Linked DNA regions of Anolis sagrei. The protein of the gene in region 1 interacts with the protein of each later gene in a pairwise test. Links are inferred from orthologs where the notes say so. Each region holds a gene or a part of one and is shown in the gene's direction. Other genes may lie near its edges.

Region 1 (10,327 bases):
TTACGATACATTTATCTTCACCCATGGAGATTGCACAGCTAAATTAAAAGGGAATAGGAAGTTTGAGCAGAGGGCCAGATCCTACACCTAGAGCTTTGCTCTACAAGATTCAATTCCACTACAACACTGTTTTTTGTATGAAAACTCAACAACTAAGTTTTCTAATCCATATTCTTAATATTGTCCCTTGATTGTGTGAACTGTGTGATATTCTGTTGGTTATTGCAAGGTCACATGTTAGGGTTTGTAATGGACTTGGTGAAGGAAGAGGAATAACAAGAACAGATGACTATTTTGTAGGAATGAAGATTTTCAATTTCTTATTCTCCTCAACCCTCATCTTTTCTAGAGATTAAAGATAACATGGATTTACTAAACAAATACCACAATGGCTTCTTTTCAAATGGGAAGTTTCTGTGCTGCAATCAAACTTGCAAAGCAGCTCCTGGATGCACAATATGGGAAAAATGTAATGTATTACCCTTGTGTCTTTTTTTTTTTTGTGAACCACCATTGGAAATGAGAGCTTTTTCATGCTATTTCCAACATAACAGTAATTGCATGCAACTGCAGGTAATACATCTTCGTTATAATTAACTATTCTTTGATGTTTTTCACCATGTTATGCGCTCGACATTTTATTGCGAGTTTCAGTCAGATTGACAGTAAGATGAAGGATCATTCCTTTTCATCTGGCAGACCAATCTGAACCAGACTTACTGGGAAGTTAAAGGAGCAATTGGATAATACTCTAGTGTGGGATGAGCTAGGTGTGTATATGTACACCCAAAGCTGGTTTTGCAGTCTTTGTCCTTTCCAGACTTCCCAGAATGTTCATTTTGCAAAGGTGAATTTGTTTGTATTGGGAGCATCCAGGACCAGCAGTTTGCCTTCAGAATAGATTGAAGGGCCCTTATTAAATTTGTGACATTAAAAATACACGCTTATTTGTGCTTACATCTAGTTTTGTTTTGTTTTTTCTTCATTTATTTTCCATAGTTTTGGCTGTCCTTGCAGCTCCCAAATGATCTTTGGAGCAGAAACCATGTCCCTGGGTCCACTGCATTTGGCATACTAACAAGCACGGGAATTTTCATAAGAAAATTGATGGGCACAGGGAAAAAATCAGTGTTTGGCTCCTGCCAATGGATTTTCCTCCCTGTGATGTAAACATTGCAAGGCAAACATAAACTGGCAGAATTTCATGCTCCAGAATGGGGTTGGGGGGGGGGGGGGAGAGAGACAGAGAGAGAGAGAGAACTGGAAGGAGCTTTCTTGGGATATCCTTGAAACTATCAGTGACCCCTTGGGTTAGAGGTGGGGCTGTTGCCAGACATCTTTTGATAGCTGTTGTACTGCCTGCATCCAAAACTACTGGGTACCTCCAGTGCAATGCTACAAAAATTAAATATGCCAGCATCACTTTTGGTGAAGCAATCAAGTCTCAAGACGAGGCTGGCTTCTGTGTCTGATTTGTCAACTAAGCTTTTCTCCCCACACCTCTGAAATAAATATTCCACAAATGAAACAAACATGTCAGACTTGTGAGTTGTTACCTAGTGTTTTCCTGGGTCTATTAACTTATTATGTAAATGTAGTAATATGTGTTTGTGGGAGAGCAGAATGAAATTATATAACAGATACTCCAGGAGTTCACCTAGATCAGTGGTTCTCAACCTGGGGTCCCCAGATATTTTTGGCCTTCAACTCCCAGAAATCCTAATGGCTGGTAAACTGGCTGGGATTTCTGGGAGTTGTAGGCCAAAAACATCTGGGGACCCCAGGTTGAGAACCACTGACCTAGATAGTGTAACAGGAGCTACAAACAATGTCCTGTTATTATACCAAAGTATGAGTAAGCCGATCAATTTCCAAAACAAATAATCTGCATGCAAATCTTGCTCTTTGGAAGTGGCTCCTGGCACACAACATTACTGTTTTATGCTCAATAGTAAATTTGTACAGTTAGATGAAAAGTCTCTTCTCAGCTGCTTAGACAACAATATAGCTGAAATATTATTTCTCTCCAAAAAGTTAGGCTATTAAGTGATTTTAAGCCATCGATCCCAACCTGACACTTTACAGATTTGCTAGACTCTGCCTCTCGCTATTCCTTGCCTGTAAGACATCTAGAGGGCACCAGACTTGGGGAGACCAGTATAAGTTCTGCATGCCTAGAAAGAAAAAACACGATTGGGTCAGACCAAGGCCCAAAGCTGCATCTACACTGTAGGAATAATGCAGTTTCAGACCACTTTAACTGCCATGGCTCAATGCTATAGAATAATGAGTATTGCCATTTTGCAAATTATTCCATCTTCTTGGACCAAGTATGTTAGTGCCTCACCAAACAACAGATCCCAGGTTTCCATAGCATTGAGCCGTGGCAGTTGAAGTCATGTCAAACCGCATTGATTGTATAGTGTAGATGCATCTCAAGTGCTTCAAACAATTACCAATGAGTGACCTTCTGTTCAAGCACCATTGTTATTTGTCTTTACTGTTTCATATTCACATGCACATTGAACAATTAACAAATTTTCTTCTGAGTTCTGTGTGTAAAGGTATTTTTGAAAGCGCTAGCTAGCTGTGCCTTCTAATTTCAGATGTGTGTTCTGGTCACACATTTACCCAATGATCTCAGCCTGGAGGATGTATCTCTGTAGACCTTTTAAAAAGAGTTATAAGTGAATGTTCACGTACAGTTCTGTGAGTCCCTCTGAATGAATTCTGCGTTCCATAACAATTTCCCCAGGGTAGTCCAGTACTGATACCATACTAATTAAACGGTCAAAAAGTATACCCAGTGCTTACCTCTAGGTCCTATCTGTAGGATGGGGTGAGTAACAATGTGGTAGCCGGGGCCAATTAGCTACCACGCACACATTACATGCAGGCATGTAGGCCACACACACACATACATCCATACCAAACCCAAACATTTCTGTTTTTCATTCACACTTCTTCTAACCTCCTGTTGCTATTTTAGAGGCACAGAGATATCTGGAGATAGAATGGGATTTTGGAGTGCTTGAAAGGGTGGGGAGAGGGTATTTTCTTGTGCTTTTATGTAGTTTGTAGGTTTTCTCTATTGTTTGTGGACAATCCCATAAAAATTGTTGATTTTCTAAAATGGGAAGAAGTTGAGGAGGGGGCTTCTGGGGCCACAAAAGTAGGGTCAAAAGTCCACACGTAGCCCACTCCTGCTGTAGGATATGCATTTCACCTCGGACTTTCATGTTTTTGCTGTAGACTCCAGCCCACACAGTGCAAGCACTGCAGTGAAACCGCTCCCACCAGTACCAGGGCAACTGGTAAGTGAGAAATGTTTTAGCAGTGAATCTTGGTATCCATACAAAGGACAGTCATGCCACTGGAATGATTGGACTGACAAGTGACCCCTGACAAAAAAGAGAAGCCCTTTCTTTGCCTTTCTTTTCATCCATTTGTTTTCTCCATGGGTGGACTTATTTTCAAGGAGAAATGCGGTAACCTGGAATGACCTTAAGCAGATGGGTGTACCTTTAGTGATGCAAATCTATTTTTAAATGACAATAGCTGTTGTTTTAGGACAATTATTTGCAAAACCTAGCTGACAGCTTCTTTACTTATGGCTGGCTTATCAGAGGAGGCCTGGTGCAGGGTTTACATCTAAATTCTGCATATCACAAACACAAAAAGTAGGCCAGTTCCCAAAGTCTAGTAAAAAGACACAGAACTTGTTTCTGTTCTGCTGTCTGTTCTGTAATGTAAATTAGACTCTGTTCTATTACAAACCCTATGTGGATACATTCACCAAGTTACGTATGGTAGTGTGTGGATGTTTGCACAGCATTGTAGTTCAGCAGGGGTCACTTCCTACCCTGACCCATAAAGTGGGTCTGATCTAGTGGCTGCACTGAACATGGTTTGGGGCCACTGGGCAGGGGCCCTATCTTCCACCCTCCTTCTCCCCATGTCACAGCTGGCAATTACCCTTTTCCCTCCTCCTAGACTCCTTTACAGGTCACAAGACTTGCGAGAAAGCCGATGGACCCCCAAGTATAAAGTAGGTGTTTGTGTCATGGCTGTATATCTGAGAACATACATATACATAGAAATGTGTCATTGTTATTGATAGGCTACTATGTGGCTATACGGTTTGACAGTGGAAAATGATGAGTTAATTACATATAGGAAAAGAAAGTGTAATGCAGCAATTATTCCATGAAAAAATGGTGTTGTAGTTCAGCCAGTTCAGCCCATTATTGTGGCTGATACCAATGTTAATGTGGACGTGGATCATGGGAACTCTGGGCCAGTGAGTCCACATGAGATTTTAAGTCTTGAAAATGATCAGTCTGTGTCTCCAGCAGCTAGTGAAGGTCACATTCCAGAGAGTTGCCAAAATGGTGCAGAGGAGCCAGTCTCTAGGGAAAAGAGTTCAGAGACCGAAATCCCAGGTGCAGAGAATAATGAGTTGGAAGATAATGAGCTGGTTGATAGGATACTTAGTTTTCATAAACTTCAGTCTGCTCAGCAGAATCTCCGAAGGTCCCAGTGCCTTTACAACAGAAGCCCGTATCAGACACATATGTGAAAAGACATGACTTCCTGGTCTATATTAGAGAGGCCGGGGGCATTTTCTAGTCTTGGTCTCCACAGTTTCAGGGGAACCCATTTTTCTTTTTGGCATTTTCTAGTCAGGCTGGTTAATGCTGGTAATTGAGACAACAACTCTTGTCAAGTCTTGGTCAAGGGGATTCTAGTTTCATGCCTTTGTTCATATTTCATGCATCCAAGGATTATTCCTGGATTTTTGTATTGGATTTTATGCTGCCTTGTGCTTCCTCTTCCTTGTACAAACGTGTTTCCCGGCTTTGAGTGCAACAATCAGAATATAATTTCATGCTGTACTGGTACTTTAAGAACCTCCAGTCAATAAAAAATGGCTGTACAGGCAATTCATCAAATGAGATGAATGAGGGCAGTATTTTAATGGCTGATGAGCACTTTCCTAGCCCTAGTCCACGTTTGATATATACCTGGCACAGTTAAGATAACTTTCTTTTGTTTAATTATGAAAGCAGCTCTTCTGCCCTTCATCATTCTTGCTACTCTTTCAACACATACTTCAACAACTAGAAGTGTGGTCACACAACTCAATAAAGGATTTTTTAAATAATGAATCAGTTAAGATTTGCCAAGTTTATCCCCACTGACTCTTGCACAAACATTACTCTCTCTCATTCTCTCTGTATGTGTGTAAATGTGTGTGTGTGTGTAGAGAGAGAGAGAGAGAGAGAGAGGGAGAGGGAGGGAGGGAGATTAATATTCATGCAAATTGAACAGTATGTGTGGTGGGTTTTAAAATTGAACGTTAAGATTTCTTTTCAGGAAAATCATTTCAGTAACATTTGGCTAATAAAAAATATATAGTAAAGTAAATGTAAGGATGTGACAAAACTCAGGAGAAGCCTAAGGTAATAGAAAAAGGGTTAGAAAATCACTGATGCAGTGAAGCATTTGGGCAAACTAACTGAGGTCCAATTATTTCTACATATCTGCTCCAAGGGTGACTCCATCTGGATCAAAAATAATGTTTCTAATATGATCTGAATGCTTGAAATGTGCTTTGTTGTTGGTATTCTTATTATTACGTAATGATAAAGTGGGTATAAATTCTTCTTTACATTCATGATGTGGTATATTTATTTCCTTTTTCTGGGTTTGTTTTTGCAGCAACTACCAGGTCTAATATCTGACAAGTCATATCTGAAAGAAGCGCTAGCTGTTCATAATTATGAACCAAAAGGAAGCTCTGATGTTCGGCTTGTCAGAAACCACAAATATTATATTCTGAGAGATGACGATCCTGACTGGTGGCGAGTAAGAGATTTGGATGGGTAAGTTTCTGCTACAGAAATACTACTGTCATTTTGTCACTACTAAGAAATAATGTTCATATTCTATTAAAAAACTTTCCCACTCATGCTGCACTTGAAATTTACTGAAAAATTAAATGCTCTGATTTAAAACATATGCTGCTAATTTGTCTAAATTATGCCAGAGTCAATCTAGGTGGTACTTAGGTAGCTGAACTTTTTCTGGGTATATTGTTCTGTGCGGGTAGCTGCTGGACCTGGGCCAAGAATACATAGGTTAAAATCTTAATTGTAAAACTGAGGATGGTTCATGCAAGATCACTCTTAGGCCCTTTCTACACTGCCATATAACCCAGTTCAAATTAGATAATCTGGATTTTATATGTAAGTGTAGAAGGGGTCTTTGTTAACCTATCTCATGTGGTTATCAGGCTAACAAAATATACATTCCCATGTATACTGCTATAGGCTCTGCAGAGGAAGGGTTGAAAACACAAGTGAGATGAATAATAACTGTATGTACAAGTGGACTATGAATGCCTTATTGGGGAAAGGATGAGCTTATTGTCCATTTAAGGCACCTGCTGACATACCAAAGTTTTCATAAACTATTTACCCCCATCCTGGCAGAAATGTTAACAGCAGGAAAAAATATGGCAAAGATTATTACCATTCTCATACAGAGTGTAGCAATAAGATCACGCCCCCCCCCCCCCAAAAAAAGATATTATTGATCTTTAATCTTTATTCTAGTCTTGACAATGGTCCCTCATTAGTGTAAATGGAAAGTCAATGTTGATCATCCTGCATTGTGATAAACGTATAAAATCAAATTTCTTCCTCCCTCCTCTATTTTATCTTGCTTTTTTGAGAATATCATGTGTGTTTGTGTTTGTGTGTGTGTGTGTGTAATCCTTTGCAGGCAGTCCCCAAGTCACAAACGACTCATTGTTAAGAACAGGAGTGAGACAACAGGAAGTTATCATGAGGAAAATGTGTCTCCACTGAAGCTTTCTCACCAATCTTTGCTTCCAGAACAAGCCATATTTTTCAAAATCTAGTGCTCACAGTGACAGAAATTGTGGTGAAATCTTCTAAAATCTTCTGAGCAAGGTCATAGGCAGCAAAAGAAACACCACAGCAGTGTTATCCCTTCTCTGTGTTATCCAAAGCATGTGTGTGCACGCACACACACGAGCACACATATATAGCTGGGGTTACACTTAAAAAGCATACCTCTTCCAACTTACATACTAATTCAACTTAAGAACAAACCTACATAAATGATCTTGTTTGTAACTTGGGGACTTCCTGTATTTTTAAAAAATGTATTTTTCATTTACAGTAATGAAGGCTTTGTTCCACATACTTATCTGAAGATGATATCTCAGACCACCGATGAATTAAGGTAAGCTGTATTCCAGCCATTTTGTTACATTAAGCATAGGATACAACAGAAGGGGAAACTTATCACCTTTTGGCCACCTAGGTGCCTAACTAGTGACATTGGTGAAATCCAGACAGACAGGCTTAGTACTAACATTTCACTTAAGTGTTAATAAGCATTTGAATCTCAAGATAATTGTATGGGAGAATGAGCAAGCTCTCTGTTAGTTGGTAGGCTAATAAGTATATGCAAATGTATATAGACTTATTACAAAGAAACACAGGCATGGCAATGGCTGGTCACATTGCTTTCATTAAGTTATACTGTATTTCATGTAAAGCGTCAATTCATTGTCATATGGCAAGTCAGATATTACACTTTCATAGATACTGTTGTCGTAGCAACTCTCTAGCATGCTTATCTGTAATGATTACATATTGGTTCATCTAATATTCTTTGCTCAGGTTCCATTGCTTAGGAAACTAGATGCCTCCACATAAGTGCTTTTTATTCGTGTCAGGAGTGACTTGAGAAACTGCAAGTCGCTTCTGGTGAGATAAAAAAGGGCCGTCTGCAAGGACGTTGCCCAGGGGACTCCCGGATGTTTTATCATCCTGTGGGAGGCTTCTCTCATGTCCCTGCATAAGAAGCTGGAGCTGACAGACAGGTGCCCACCCCACTCCCTGGATTCAAACTGCCGACCTTTTGGTCAGCAGTCCTGCTGGCACAAAAGTTTAACCCATTACACCACAGGGGGTCCTACATAAGTGCTGAATCCAAGGCTACTCCATGGGCAGATTTGTACCATGCTAAACTATATGGTGTGAACAACACACTATTTATCTATGAAAGCTTATACTACTAACTTCTTTTAGTTAATGTCAAAGGTGCTACAAAATCTCTTTGCATACTGATCCAGACTAACAAAGCCATAACTTTTAATTCTATAAAATTGTTGTGTAGCTTCTTTAGTAGTGTTGAACATACTATGGCTCAGCAATAAAAGTGATGATAAAAGCCAACATGCCTTTTTTTGTTTGCAGAGGAACCACTGAGGCAACTGAAATGGAAGACAGCTTTGATAAATATAAGTAAGGAGACCATTGGATGTAGTTGAATATTGGAATTATAGCTCATAAAATACAGTGGCAGTATTTGAGTGTCCACTGCAAGGTGTTCATTACCACAAAAATGAATATTTGCAAGTTATTATAGTTTTACCTGCAAGGTCTGTGCATTGCATTGATGATACTATCAGCATACTATTGCATACTGATTCCATTATATGATGTTCTTGTTATTATTTAATGCATTTAGATATCGCATCCTTCTTTTAAATATTGCACCAATTCTTTGAGTAGGGTTAGAAAGAAAGTAATTAATCCAGAATCAGCTAGTAAACGACCTAAGGAAGTTCTTCATCTGACTCATAACCTACAGTTACTCCAAATCAAAGATAAAGAGGCTATTTAAAGCCCAGAAATCTGTAACATGGAACTTTGTGTCAGTGGCATAGGCAGCACAGCAAGGCAGGGACAGATCAATCACAGCCACTTTAGGCTATAAACTACTTCATTTTACAGCTATAAACATTAGAAGCTACTTAACACTCAGCACATCAAAAACTTGCTTCTTTTCCTTCTGATCGTAACATTGCAAACTCACTAACCGTTGTCAGTACTAGTCCACACCTCTTGCATTTCAAAGTGATGTAGGACATACGACGCTGTGTCCATTTGTTTATACACTTGATTTCTGACCTCTCTAGGAATGCCATTCCCTCCATGGTTCAGTTAACTCTTTCCACACAGGAATATATTACACTCGGCACATAACTACTGCATTTTAAAGATACTGTACATGCATACATACTTTGAAATCTACATTATAAATTGCAAACAACTTCAACACTTTGCAGTCCTAGAAGCTGTTATAGTGGGACTTATTATTGTGAAAACATGCATATAATTGTGATGTACCTGGTATTCTTAGTGCCAGTATTATAAGAAAGAAAGAAAGAAAGAAAGAAAGAAAGAAAGAAAGAAAGAAAATAACATTTGGTTTCTTCCATTAAACAGATGCTTCTGTACTCATCTCTTGTTGTGATTGTGACAAGAGTATTCTGTTTTGTATGATTTCCAGCACAGTCTTTATTTAGGAGTAAAGCTTTCCTCAAAATATATCTTTAGAAATCCCATGTCCCGTGATATTAATAGGCAGGTTTTAGATTTTTAACTTGCTTTTATGTGCTACCTGATTTAATTAACAGATTTTTTTAGTAGGCTCTCTAATTCAATTTCAGATGTTATTTCAAAATCATTAACTGTCTCAAAAATAATAAGTTAGCTATCTCTTTTGTTGCAGTTGGTATGTTGGTCGTCTTTCAAGGGCCCAGACAGAACAACTGCTGCAAGAGAAGGTAGTATTTAAATACATGTGGATTTTTAAAATCAGTTTCTGCATTGGTTCTGCTTGCTTACCTACCGCTTCCTGGAATTACAAAGTACAATATTGGAAAGTGATGACAATTGGAAGGTTTCAGTTAGGATTCATTTTGAATTTTGCTAAGGTTGGTGGTTCTTACAACCTTATAACACCCTTATGCCATGCTATTCCATTTGAAATCCTTTCAAGCCAGTTTCATGGGGGTATCTGATTGTAAATAGCTTTCATTGTGCCCATGTTTCATTTGTACTTTAAATGTCATTTGCATGGTATTTTCATCTGCATTAATATAGTAATATAGAAATAGTAATTCGTTACCTCAGAGTTATATTATCATAATCAATCTTCACCTTTGTACATTGTTGTAATTTACCTTGATTATTTAGTAAACTATTGTTAAACTTATTCTTGTTTGTAGAGTTTTATTTTGGGGGAGTTATAGTAATTAGGGCATATCGATGGTCACTGGGAAAATAGCCAGACACATTTAGGTTTCTCATTAGATCTTCCTGGTGTGCCATCACAGTGATTAGGATCCTGATCGGCTTGTAGCCAATTCAAATTGCTTATAGAAAGTTATAAGAGAGAGCCCACTCCCTGCAAAGGGGGTGTGAGAGAAGAAAAAGCACTG
Region 2 (10,988 bases), on another chromosome or scaffold:
AAGATCTAGTCAGGGGTTGCTGTAGTTTTTAACTGTCTTGATGAATTCAAACTGTGATTTTTTTTAGTGCTGGTTGTGTTTAATTCTATTTTAATTATTGCATATTTATATATTTTTAATTTTATACTAATGTTTTTATGTCAAGCTGTTTCGAGTCCCCTTTGGGGAGATAATGTGACCATCATCATCATCATCATCATCATCATTATTATTATTATTATCCTGCTTTATCTTCCCAAAGGCCACCTTACTTGGATCTGCATGCATCATTTGAAAATATATCACACAGCCCTAAATGCTTTTGAAGTGTTCGACTTGTGATTTTGTGATACGAAATTCAGCATATACGTCTCGTTTGCTGTGGCATATTTGTTTTTGTGTCAGTATAATAATAATAGAAATAATCCTACCTGAAGGCTTTGATACTTGCTGCTGGTCACAGCCAACAACATTAAAATAGATGGACTAATGGTGAAAGTAGCTTCTTGCATTCCTATTGTTCCTGCTAATCAAAAAGTCGCATCACCTTCACTACAATGCTGTTAAATCTCTTAACACTAAAACTGCTTGTAAGAAGTGAAAGCTAGTGCCTTTTTGTAACATATTTATACTACAATTATTCCACTTGAATTACTATCGTTGTGTCTGATTTTTTTTTCATGTCAGGAGTGACTTGAGGAACTGCAAGCGACTTCTGGTGTGAGAGAATTGGCTGTCTGCAAGGATGTTGCCCAGGGGAAACCCAGATATTTTACCATCCTGTGGCAGGCTTCTCTCATATCCCTGCTGGAAAAGCTGGAGCTGACAGATGGGAGCTCACCCCGCTCACTAGATTCAAATCACCAACCTTTCAATCAGCAGCCTTGCTGGCACAAGGGTTTAATCCATTGTACCACGGGGAGCTCCTGCTGCATCTGATGGGATTTGTAGTTTGGGAGGCACTAGAACTCTCTGGCTAAGAATTCTAAATACTTCTTGCTAACCTAATTCCAAATGATGCTAGTTTTTGGTTTGTTTGGAAAACTGTAAAAGAAAAGAAGTCTTCTTTTAAAACGAGAGAGAGAAAAATACAATTTGGGGGTCAGCTGAGTCCCCACTAAGGCTGCTTTTGTGGCTGTTAACCCCTCCAGTTCCTTGGATGAGGCTTTTTCTGGACAAAAAAGGGTGGTGGTTGCTGCTGCTACTACTATTTTTTTTATTACCCACCTACTTTAATTAAATCTAGAATTAAATACATTAATAAACTATATCCCCCAATTATTTAATATTATTTAAAAATTGGACATCCAACCACTTCATTCTTCATTTTGGGGGCATTTTTATTAGTATGGATAGCCTCAAGTGTCATAGGATAGAAACCTGTTCCTTTTGTAGTTGCCCACCACTGTTTTACATTTTGGAATAGTGGTTCTAATGTGATGCCATTTTAACTGAAATCTTTATATTTGAAAAGGGAGAAGCCCAAAATCTAACAAGCAAACCATCAAGAACAAATGTGAAAACATCATTTGAGAAGCATATTGCTGAAAAAATTGGGATAAGCAATTAAAAATCCTACAAATATAAGAACTAGGAAAACAGCCAGGGAGGCAGCTGAAATGCTACATGACAAAAGAATGAAAGGGTAGCTAAAAAAAGTTAAAGAGACTACAAAGAGCCTGAAGAAGTTGATTACTTTGGCATTCACTGTGGAAGAGGTTAGACAGGTATTAACACCTGAGAGAGTAGGGAATGAGTCGGGTGGAGCAATCCTGCACCGATACTCCAACTAAGCTGCAAGCGCTTAGTTGGTAAAATGTTATGCTCTGTTGGTGAAGGGAGTCAGGGGGAATAAATCTGTTGTGCGTGGGAGGGGGGGATGTGTGTTGTGAGTGTGATAGAGAGGGAATGGGAGAGAGTCAGAGAAAGTAGATGGACTATCTGTAGAAAGGAGGACTATGTACATACTCAAAATATACAGGATCGTGTAGTGATGCTAGTATTGGATTTCAACTCTTGAGGCTGCTTGGCCATGGAAAAACCTGGCCAAAGCACATTCTCTCAGCCTCAGAGGAAGGTAAGCACAAACTTTCCTTTCAAGAAATCCTGCAAAGAAAACCATGTGATAGGTTTTTCTTAGGGTTCTCATAATTTGGAAATTACTGGAAGCCACATAACAATAAATATGCAAAAAATAGGGAAGAAGAACGAATGCAGATCCATCCTGAAAAAAGCAAACCTGGACATGAGCTGCATGTGCACCCACCTCTCAAACTGCTAGGAATGGGTTGTTATTGGTTTGGTTTTGCTTTTAAATGCCCAAAAATTATTTCTGTGAAGTGCATTTCCAAGATCTCTGGGATGGCTAGTGTGGCCCATTAGTCTTCCGCAATGGCTGGTCCCTCTTCTACAAGCTCTGACCTAAGTGTCCAAGATAGATGTGCCTTTTGGCTGTATCAACATTGTGGAATTACAGCAGTTTAACACATTAACTGCTATAGCTCAAATTTATGGAATGCTGGGATTTGTAGGTTTGTGAGATGTTTAACCTTCTCTGTCAGAGATCATTAATGCCATATCAGATCCCAGGTTTCCACCAGGTGGAGCCTTGGCAGTCAAAGTGGTGTCAAATTGCTATAATTCTGCAGTGTGGCTGGTCTCAAAGTTCAACACTCAGCTATTATATTACGCCTGCTCACTGTCTGCTGGTATCTATTGAGGTTTGTTGGGTACAAAAAGAGAACAAGAATTCTTCTCAGTGTAAACTTCTGGCATATCATAAATTTTTCTTGGACTTTAGAGCACAATGTGTGGGATAGATTTATAGAAGACTAGATATTTATTGCAACCACAAGAGCTGGCCAAAGGCCATCCTTGGTGCTGCACATTTTCATAGGTGAAGTATCTCTCACAGAAACTCCCATAAATGCCAATGTACAAAAAAAAGCATTTTATTCAAAATCAGAAGTCGCTAGACAAAGGTAAAAGTTTCCCCTTGACATTAAGTCTAGTTGAGTCCGATTCTGAGGGGTGGTGCTAAGCCGAAGAGCCGTTGTTATTCATAGACACCTCCTAGGTCATGTGGCCAGCATGACTGCATAGAGTGCCATTATCTTCCTGCCTGAGTGGTACCTATTGATCTACTCACATTTGCATGTTTTCAAACTGCTAGTCTCTAGCCACTTCTATTTTGCCAGCTCCAGAAGGTCCCAGAATAGAAAACTGTCTGCTAGCTGCTAAGTTTGCCACCCTTGGTTTTACACCAATGCTCAGTTGCTACAAGTGTTGATTTTCACTTTAACTTAATAAACAACTGACATCAGTACTTTTAGAACTTTCATCACATTCAGATAAAAGTTTAGTCATGACTGTACTCACAATCTCCCTTTCTCTTTTCAAGTTATAGGAGTTTCAAAATAATTCCAGTGCTCAGCATAGAAAATTCTAAGTGGATTTATCATACATGATAGTAATTTTTGCTATTAGTTACATATTCTAATTTTGATATCCAGCAATAAGATACTGGAAGGAAGGGCTTTGATGTGTGAGTGGTTTCACTCCAAGCCCAGGTTGTCCCCCTCCTCAATATGACATTATTTCAAGTATTTAGACAAGTTATTAAGTCTCCTCTCAGTCTTCTTTTCTCCAGGTTAAACATACCCAGCTCCCTGAGCCACTCCTCGGCTTGGCTTTTGAACCTTGGTTGTAGTGAACAGAACTGGACACAGTGTTATTCCAGGTGAGGTATGAACAAAGCAGAATAGAACGAGACTATGACTTCCTTCGATCTCAACACTATACTCCTATTGATGCCACCTAGAATCACATTGGTTTTTTAAAGCTGCCACATCACATCTGCACAGCAAAAGCACTCTCTCCAATTTGTTGTTAATTTGTTCAGTCGCTTCCAACTCTTCATGACCTCATGGACCAGTCCACGCCAGAGCTCCCTGTCAGCCGTCACCACCCCCAGCTCCTTCAAGGTCAAGCCAGTCACTTCAAGGATACCATCCATCCATCTTGCCCTTGGTCAGCCCTTCTTCCTTTTTCCTTCAATTTTCCCCAGCATCATTGTCTTCTCTAAGCTTTCCTTTCTTCTCATGATGTGGCCAAAGTACTTCATCTTTGCCTCTACTATCCTTCCCTCCAATGAGCAGTTGGGCTTTATTTTCTGAAGTATGGACTGGTTGGATCTTCTTGTGGTCCAAGGTACTCTCAGAACTTTCCTCCAACACCACAGCTCAAAAGCATCTTTCTTCCTTCTCTCAGCCTTCCCTATGGTCCAGCTCCCACATCCGTAGGTTACTATGGGGAATGCCATTGCTTTTACTAGGCGGATCTTCGTTGCCAGTGTTTTGTCTCTTCACTATTTTATCAAGATTGGGTTAGGGGTGTAGCATCCAAATTTCATGTCAATTCATCCAGTGGTTTTTGAATTATGTTAATCCCACATTTTTATTTATATAGATCAGGGGTCCTCATACTTTTTAAACAGAGGGCCAGGTCACAGTCCCTCAAGCTATTGGAGGGCTAGATTATAATTTGAAGAAGAAGAAAAAACAAATGAATTCCTATGCACACTGCAATATCTTATTTGTAGTGCAAAAATACTTAAAACAATACAATAATTCAAATGAAGAACAATTTTAACAAATATAAACTTATTACTATTTCAATGGGAAGTGTGAGCCTGCTTTTGGCTGATGAGATAGGATTGTTGTTGTTGTGTGCTTTCAAGTTGTTTCAGACTTAGGTTGACCCTGAGTGAAAGCTGGGTAAAGGACCTTGGAGGGCTGCATCCGGCCCCTGGGCCTTAGTTTGGGGACCCCTGAAATAGATAGATATAGATATAAATTCCACAGGTTAGGCCCGTAGCCAGGATTTTGATTGGGGGGAGGGGCTGAGGATTTACCCTAGCAAACGTTTTGTGTTGTTATCCCAATACCCCCATGCATATGGGATATATTGAGCATGGTGATCAGATCATGATACGAATAAACGTAACAGTTTGGCCACCTCCATCCAGATGTTCCATTAGAGGCCAGTGGCAATAGGAAAAGAAAATTTGGATTTTGCGAAATGGATTCTCCCGGCTCGGCTTGGTTTTACTGGCACGTTAATCTATTAATTTATTGTTAAAATTTACTGATGATGTTGTACAATGTTTTAAAATGATTTTTATTGTGAATTGTAATTTTTATGGTATTTATGCTGTTAGCATCCTCTGATGCTCATGTGAGGCTACACTGAGTCCCCCTTGTGGGGAGAAGGGCGGGATATAAATACAAGGGGTATTTTTTAATTAATGTCCGTTTTGTTGTAGACACTAGTAGTTCGCATGCATACCACAATGAGCATGTGCGTCGTGTACTGGCATGCCTCGGGAACAACTGTGCTCAGTTTCTGCTCTGTAGCTAACCTGTACGGTTCTGTTCTGTGCTTTAAAAATGTTTAAGACTCTCAACTCACCCTCCGCATGTGAGGTTTGCTCAGTGATACGGTTTTTGTCAGCAAGGAACCTGCCTGCTGCAGAAATTCATCGACAGATTTGTGAAGTGTACGGTGATACTGTTATGAGTGAAAGCAAAGTGCGTAAGTGGGTACGACAATTCAAAGATGGCCATAACAACATCCTTGATGAGGACCGCTCTGGTTGCACTTCTTTGATTACAGCCGATTTGGTGGCTTCAGTTGAAGCGAGGATTTGTGAAGAGGCAGGCCCGTAGCCAGGATTTCAATTTGGGGGGGGGGGGGCTGAGTTTTTTTCAGGGTGGGTTTTGGGGGGGCTGAGTTTTGGGGGGGGGGCTGAGTCTGAGTGAAAGAGGGTCTAGCCTAGCAAACCTTTTGTATCATTACCCCAATACCCCCATGCATATGGGATATACGGAGTATGGTGATCAGATCACGATATGAATAAACATAACAGTTTAAATAATGCACCAGTAAGGCCTTTTTGCAAACCACCATGAGAATTTTGGGGAGGGGGGGCTGAAGCCCCTTAAGCCCCCCCCCCCCCCCGGCTACATGCCTGTGAAGCGGGTATTTTAAAATTGGTTCAGAGGTATGATAAGTGTTTGAACAAACTTGGCAACTATGTTGAAAAATAGAGCGACGTATGTACTTTCTGAAAATAAATTGACTTTTTTGAAATAAACTTTCGTTGTGTACTTATGTTCCAACGGACCTTACTTAAAAAATACCCCTCGTATATGAAATATATATGAAATAAACAGTTTAAATAAAGTACCAGCAGGCCCGTAGCATATGGGATATATTGAGTAGGGTGATCAGATCATGATATGAATAAACATAACAGTTTAAATAATGCACCAGTAAGGCCTTTTCGCGAACCACCATGAGAATTTGAATTTGGGGGGGGGGGGCTGAAGCCCATCAAACCCCCCCCCCCCCCCCCCCCAGCTACATATGCTTGCCACAGGTGGAAAGGGGTCGCGAATGGAAAAAGTTTCTTCAAGTCACTCCTTGAGACCTGGCAAAGTTCAGAGAAGCCTTGAAGGCGTGCCACCGACCTAGAGAAGTAGCCACCGACCGAGGCAACAATTGTATTTAGAGAATAACCCTCCCTTCCCTTTCCCTTTCCTTCCCTTTGCTGCCATGCTTGCCTGCTGGCCTGGCTCTGGCTCTGGCTCTGTGCGCAGCTGTCCCATTGCTGACATTCCCGCTGCCAGGCATTCCAGACCTCTGAGGTCATGGCGCTGCAAACAGAGAGGGCAGTCCTTGGCTTCCCTCGCCCCGTATCCTTCCGCATGGCTGGAGCCCAAGGGAACGCCTCTCAAGGGGGAGAGACAGAGAGAGAGAAAGAGAGAGAGAGAAAGAGGAGAAGGAAGAAAGAAAGAAGGAGAAGAAACCCTGCGACGAGCTGGAGAGGCGGTCCGAGCGTGCCTGGTTGCGCCTTGAGCCGCTCGCCTTTTTCTGTCACAACAAAGCGTCGCCTCCTCCTCCTCCTCCTTCCCTCCTCTGACTCTGACTCTTTCCCCAGAGGAATCATCTCCGTCCACACGTTCGGTTTTTCCTCCTGTTGTTGTTGTTGTTGCCGCAGGAAGAGAGGAATGTTTGCCTGTTGAGAAGAAGGAGAAGCCAAGGCAGGAGTCCAGGGGGGGAGACTAAACCAGGGGACTTCCGAAGGGCTCCTTTCTGGCCCCCCACCCGCCTTCCCCGCCCCCTGAGAGCCATGACATGGCTTGACCTGGAGAGCGCCCCAAGCTGCGCCGAAGGAGACCCTGGGATTGCCTGGGAGGACTGCAACAGGTAAACACAAAGCGAAACTGACGTGGCCTGTGCTTGTCTTTGGGGGCTTCCACACTGTAGTTTGGAGCCACTTAACTGCCCTGGCTCAAGGCTACTGAAACCTGGGAGTTTGGTGGAGCTCCAGCACTCTTGGGCAGGCAAGGATCAAGACCTTGTAAAGGTACAGCTCCCGTTCTGCCATAACATTGATCGCTGGCAGTTAAAGTGGGGCCAAACTGCATGAAGTCTGTAGTGTAAACACACCCTTTGTGTGGTCATTTCTGAAACGGGAGGGAATTGTTTTTAATTTTCCTTTCAATAAATACGTGTTATGTATTCCCAGATCTTATTTCCCCACTAGTTCTGAAATATAGGAGCCGTGTCTACCAGAAAAGGGGCTGATCAGGGATCTCTCTCTAGTCCAATGGTTCTCAACCTGGGGTCCCCAGATGTTTTTGACCTTGCAACTCCCAGAAATCCTAACAGCTGGTCAACTGGCTGGGATTTCTGGGAGTTGTAGGCAAAAAACATCTGGGGATCCCAGGTTGAGAACCACTGCATCCCTACTAGCAGGTGGGCTTGTCTGGCTGGCATTGTTTTGAGAGTGCATAGGTAAAGGTAAAGGTTTTCCCCTGACATTAAGTCCAGTTGCGTCCAACTTTGAGAGTTGGTGCTCATCTCAATTTCTAAGCTGAAGAGCCAGCATTGTCCGTAGACACCTCCAAGGCCATGTGACCAGCATGACTGCATGGAGCATCGTTACAACAAAGCGTTGCCTCCTTTTCGTTCCCTCCTCTTTGCCCTCCTCCTTCGACTCTTTGCCCAGTGGAATTATATCTGTGTTCACATTCAGTGAGTAGATCAATACGGCTGGAGTGGTACCTATTGATCTACTCACATTTGCATGTTTTCAAACTGCTAGGTTGGCAGAATCTGAGGCTAACAGCGGGAGCTCATGCCACTACCCAGATTCAAACGTGCAACCTTTTGGTCAGCAAGTTCAGCAGCTCAGCGGTTTAACCCATAGTATGGAAATAACCACATGATTCATATCTTTAATAATAATAATAATAATAATAATACTAACTTACAATGCAGTCAGGGCCCTGCCACATGCACAATGGAGGACCTCCTTATAGCAACACCAGAGGCACTCCAAGTGGTCAGCTACTGGTCAAAAGACATTTAATATAATTGCCAAGTTTTTAAACTTTGTGTTTTTTTAAATGCATTACAGCTGTACCCTTGGTTAGCTCCTGATACAATAAATACATAATTGAAAAAAATATTTTTATATCCTGCCACCATCTCCCTGAAGGGACTCATAGCCCAAAAAACCTACAACAACGCAGCCTGACAGAATAATCAGATGCTAAAAAATGGGTGGGGAGGGGCTTGTGCAATAAAGTTGTAAGGGCAGGGCAGTTGGAAAAAGTGCAGGAGCCAGGTGGTAAATTAGGTCTGGAAGAGAAGTATCAGAATACTATATACAAGGGACGGTAGTAAAGTGCAGGGGCCAATTATTAAAGTATGGTTGAGGGGGCAGAATTATCTAATGAACCGTTTAGTCAAATGCATCTACGTTTTTAGGTCTTTGCAAAACATCCATGTTTTTAGGTCTTTGAGAAAAGTGGACAGGGTGGGTGCCAGACTAATCTCCCTTGGGAGAGAGTTCCAGGGCCAGGGGGCCACCACTGAGAAGGCCCTCTCCCTTGTCCCCACCAACCACGCTTGTGACAGAGGTGGAAGAGAGAGAAGGGCCTTCCCAGAAGGTCTTCAAGCCCACGCAGGTTTGTAGGGGAAGATACAATCGCAAAGATAGGCAGGTCCCGAACCATTTAGGGCTTTGTAGGTGATAACATCCCCTGACAAGTCCAGCCATGTCCAACTCTGAGGGTTGGTCCTCATCTCCATTTCTAAGCCAGAGAGCCAGCATAGACACCTCCAAGGTCATGTGGCTGGCATGACTGCATGGAGCTCTGTAACATATGGAGTTGCAAAGGGAATTGCAGTATGCTGTGTGATGTGGGATAAAAGATGATTTGTCCACATCTTCTCCCTATTCCAAGGTGCATCCCCACTGTCCAATGATAGCAGTTTGACACCATTTTAACTGCCATGGCTCAATACTATGGAATAATGCGAGTTATTTATTTATTTATGTATTTACAATACTTATATTCCACCCTTCTCACCCCGAAGGGGACTCAGGGTGGATCGCAGAACACACATGTGGCATTCAATGACAAGACAGACAACAGATGGAGATATATTTAGGCTTTTTCCTCATCATTTGGCTTCTTTTGGTTTATAAGATCTGTAGCCTTCTCTGTTCAAGAGCACTGGGGCCAAACTGCAAATCTCAGGATTCTGGAGCCTTGAGCCATGGCACTTAAGCTGGTATCAAACTGCATTAAATCGACAGTGTAGAATAGATGCGCCCCGTTCTTCCAAGTCAGCTCATTTCTGATTGCTAGACTTTGGTTGAACTGTATAGAACATTGTCCCTCTCCCGAACTAACTAATGATGACTTTAGCTCTTTAGAGAGAGATTAGTCTGTCTTTGTTTAGATCCTTTATCAAGATTTGAATAGGGTTTGAGATATTTTACAGGGGATATTTTACAGCATGCTCTATGCATATGTGTGCTAGTTGAATACTTGATATTAGTTATGATGCTAAAAGCTCTTGTAAATGGCATGTGATATTCAAAACATTACAGTTGAAGATCTCTTTGTAATTGGGACAATTAATATTTAAATAATGTTCAGGTAAGAATATTTTTTCCTTTTAAGGCCACTTTTCTTTCCAGAAAAGAATAAATAATAATAATAATACTTCATTTATATTCTGCCTTTCTTCCCAAGAGGACTCAAAGCATGAAGGAAAAGCATTAATATTTCCCCTGAGCCATTTAAAGGCCTTGATTGATAACACAAATGTTTATTTGTGCCTACCTTAAAAGAAGCAGATCAGTGAAGTCTAATTATGAACCCCAAAGAATGGAGAACAGCAATTGTTTCTATCCCTTATACTACAGCAATATATCGTTTTTCTGAGCAGTCTGAGAAGACAGTTAGTGGAAGCTACATTGGGACAATTGCATATTCCATTTATTAAAATGACTAGGGCTAAATCAGAACATAACATCTAAAAAGTTCTGGGTGTGCCAAATAGGTAATTATGTTTCCAACACGCAGTTGATTGGATTTGCTACTCTTGCCACTTCAGTACTATCCTCTTACCGGCTGCAAACTCCCTTAATCGCAGGGATAGACATTATTTTGAAAGAGGCGTGTGCGGCGGAGTGGGGGACCTGGATGGCAGCTGCTGGCAGAAAATAACAACTGCTAAACAAAACTGTGCTGTGTTTGCAAGAATTGTGCTTGGCCAGCATGAAAACTTGTTGAATAGGTTTGAAGCATTATTTCACCCCCGGACATTTTCTAATTGGCTTCTTACAAATGGATTTAAATATGACATAATATATATGCTGCATGTGTAGTTTTCAAAGAGAGTTGGTCCTATGTTCCAGACTCTCACTAAAGAACTCTGAGGGGAAAAAAACTAGAAAGTAAAAACATGTCAGGAAAGCAAATATATGCGTATGCATTAATCAAGTGTTTAATATTATGATGCCGAAACAGGGAATCTAAGGCCTGAATTCTCATTTAGTCCTAACTAGAATAGACCTACTGAATTCATTAGATTTAACCATGTGTTGACTCATCACTAAAGATTGGATTGAATAGGTTTCCTCT

The links.
Region 2: the proteins of BMX (region 1) and PTPN21 interact in binary tests that used the Homo sapiens proteins (3 or more experiments, as listed by UniProt). The link is inferred for Anolis sagrei from reciprocal best matches to the Homo sapiens genes BMX and PTPN21.

Annotation. Positions count from the first base shown.
Region 1 is NC_090023.1:90,746,509-90,756,835, reverse strand, and holds the start of BMX (cytoplasmic tyrosine-protein kinase BMX), read left to right. Parts: upstream 1-5,679; coding exon 5,680-5,885; intron 5,886-7,209; coding exon 7,210-7,272; intron 7,273-8,294; coding exon 8,295-8,342; intron 8,343-9,615; coding exon 9,616-9,670; intron 9,671-10,327. UniProt on the Homo sapiens protein: Non-receptor tyrosine kinase that plays central but diverse modulatory roles in various signaling processes involved in the regulation of actin reorganization, cell migration, cell proliferation and survival, cell adhesion, and apoptosis.
Region 2 is NC_090021.1:313,895,980-313,906,967, reverse strand, and holds the start of PTPN21 (tyrosine-protein phosphatase non-receptor type 21), read left to right. Parts: upstream 1-6,691; 5' UTR 6,692-7,248; intron 7,249-10,988.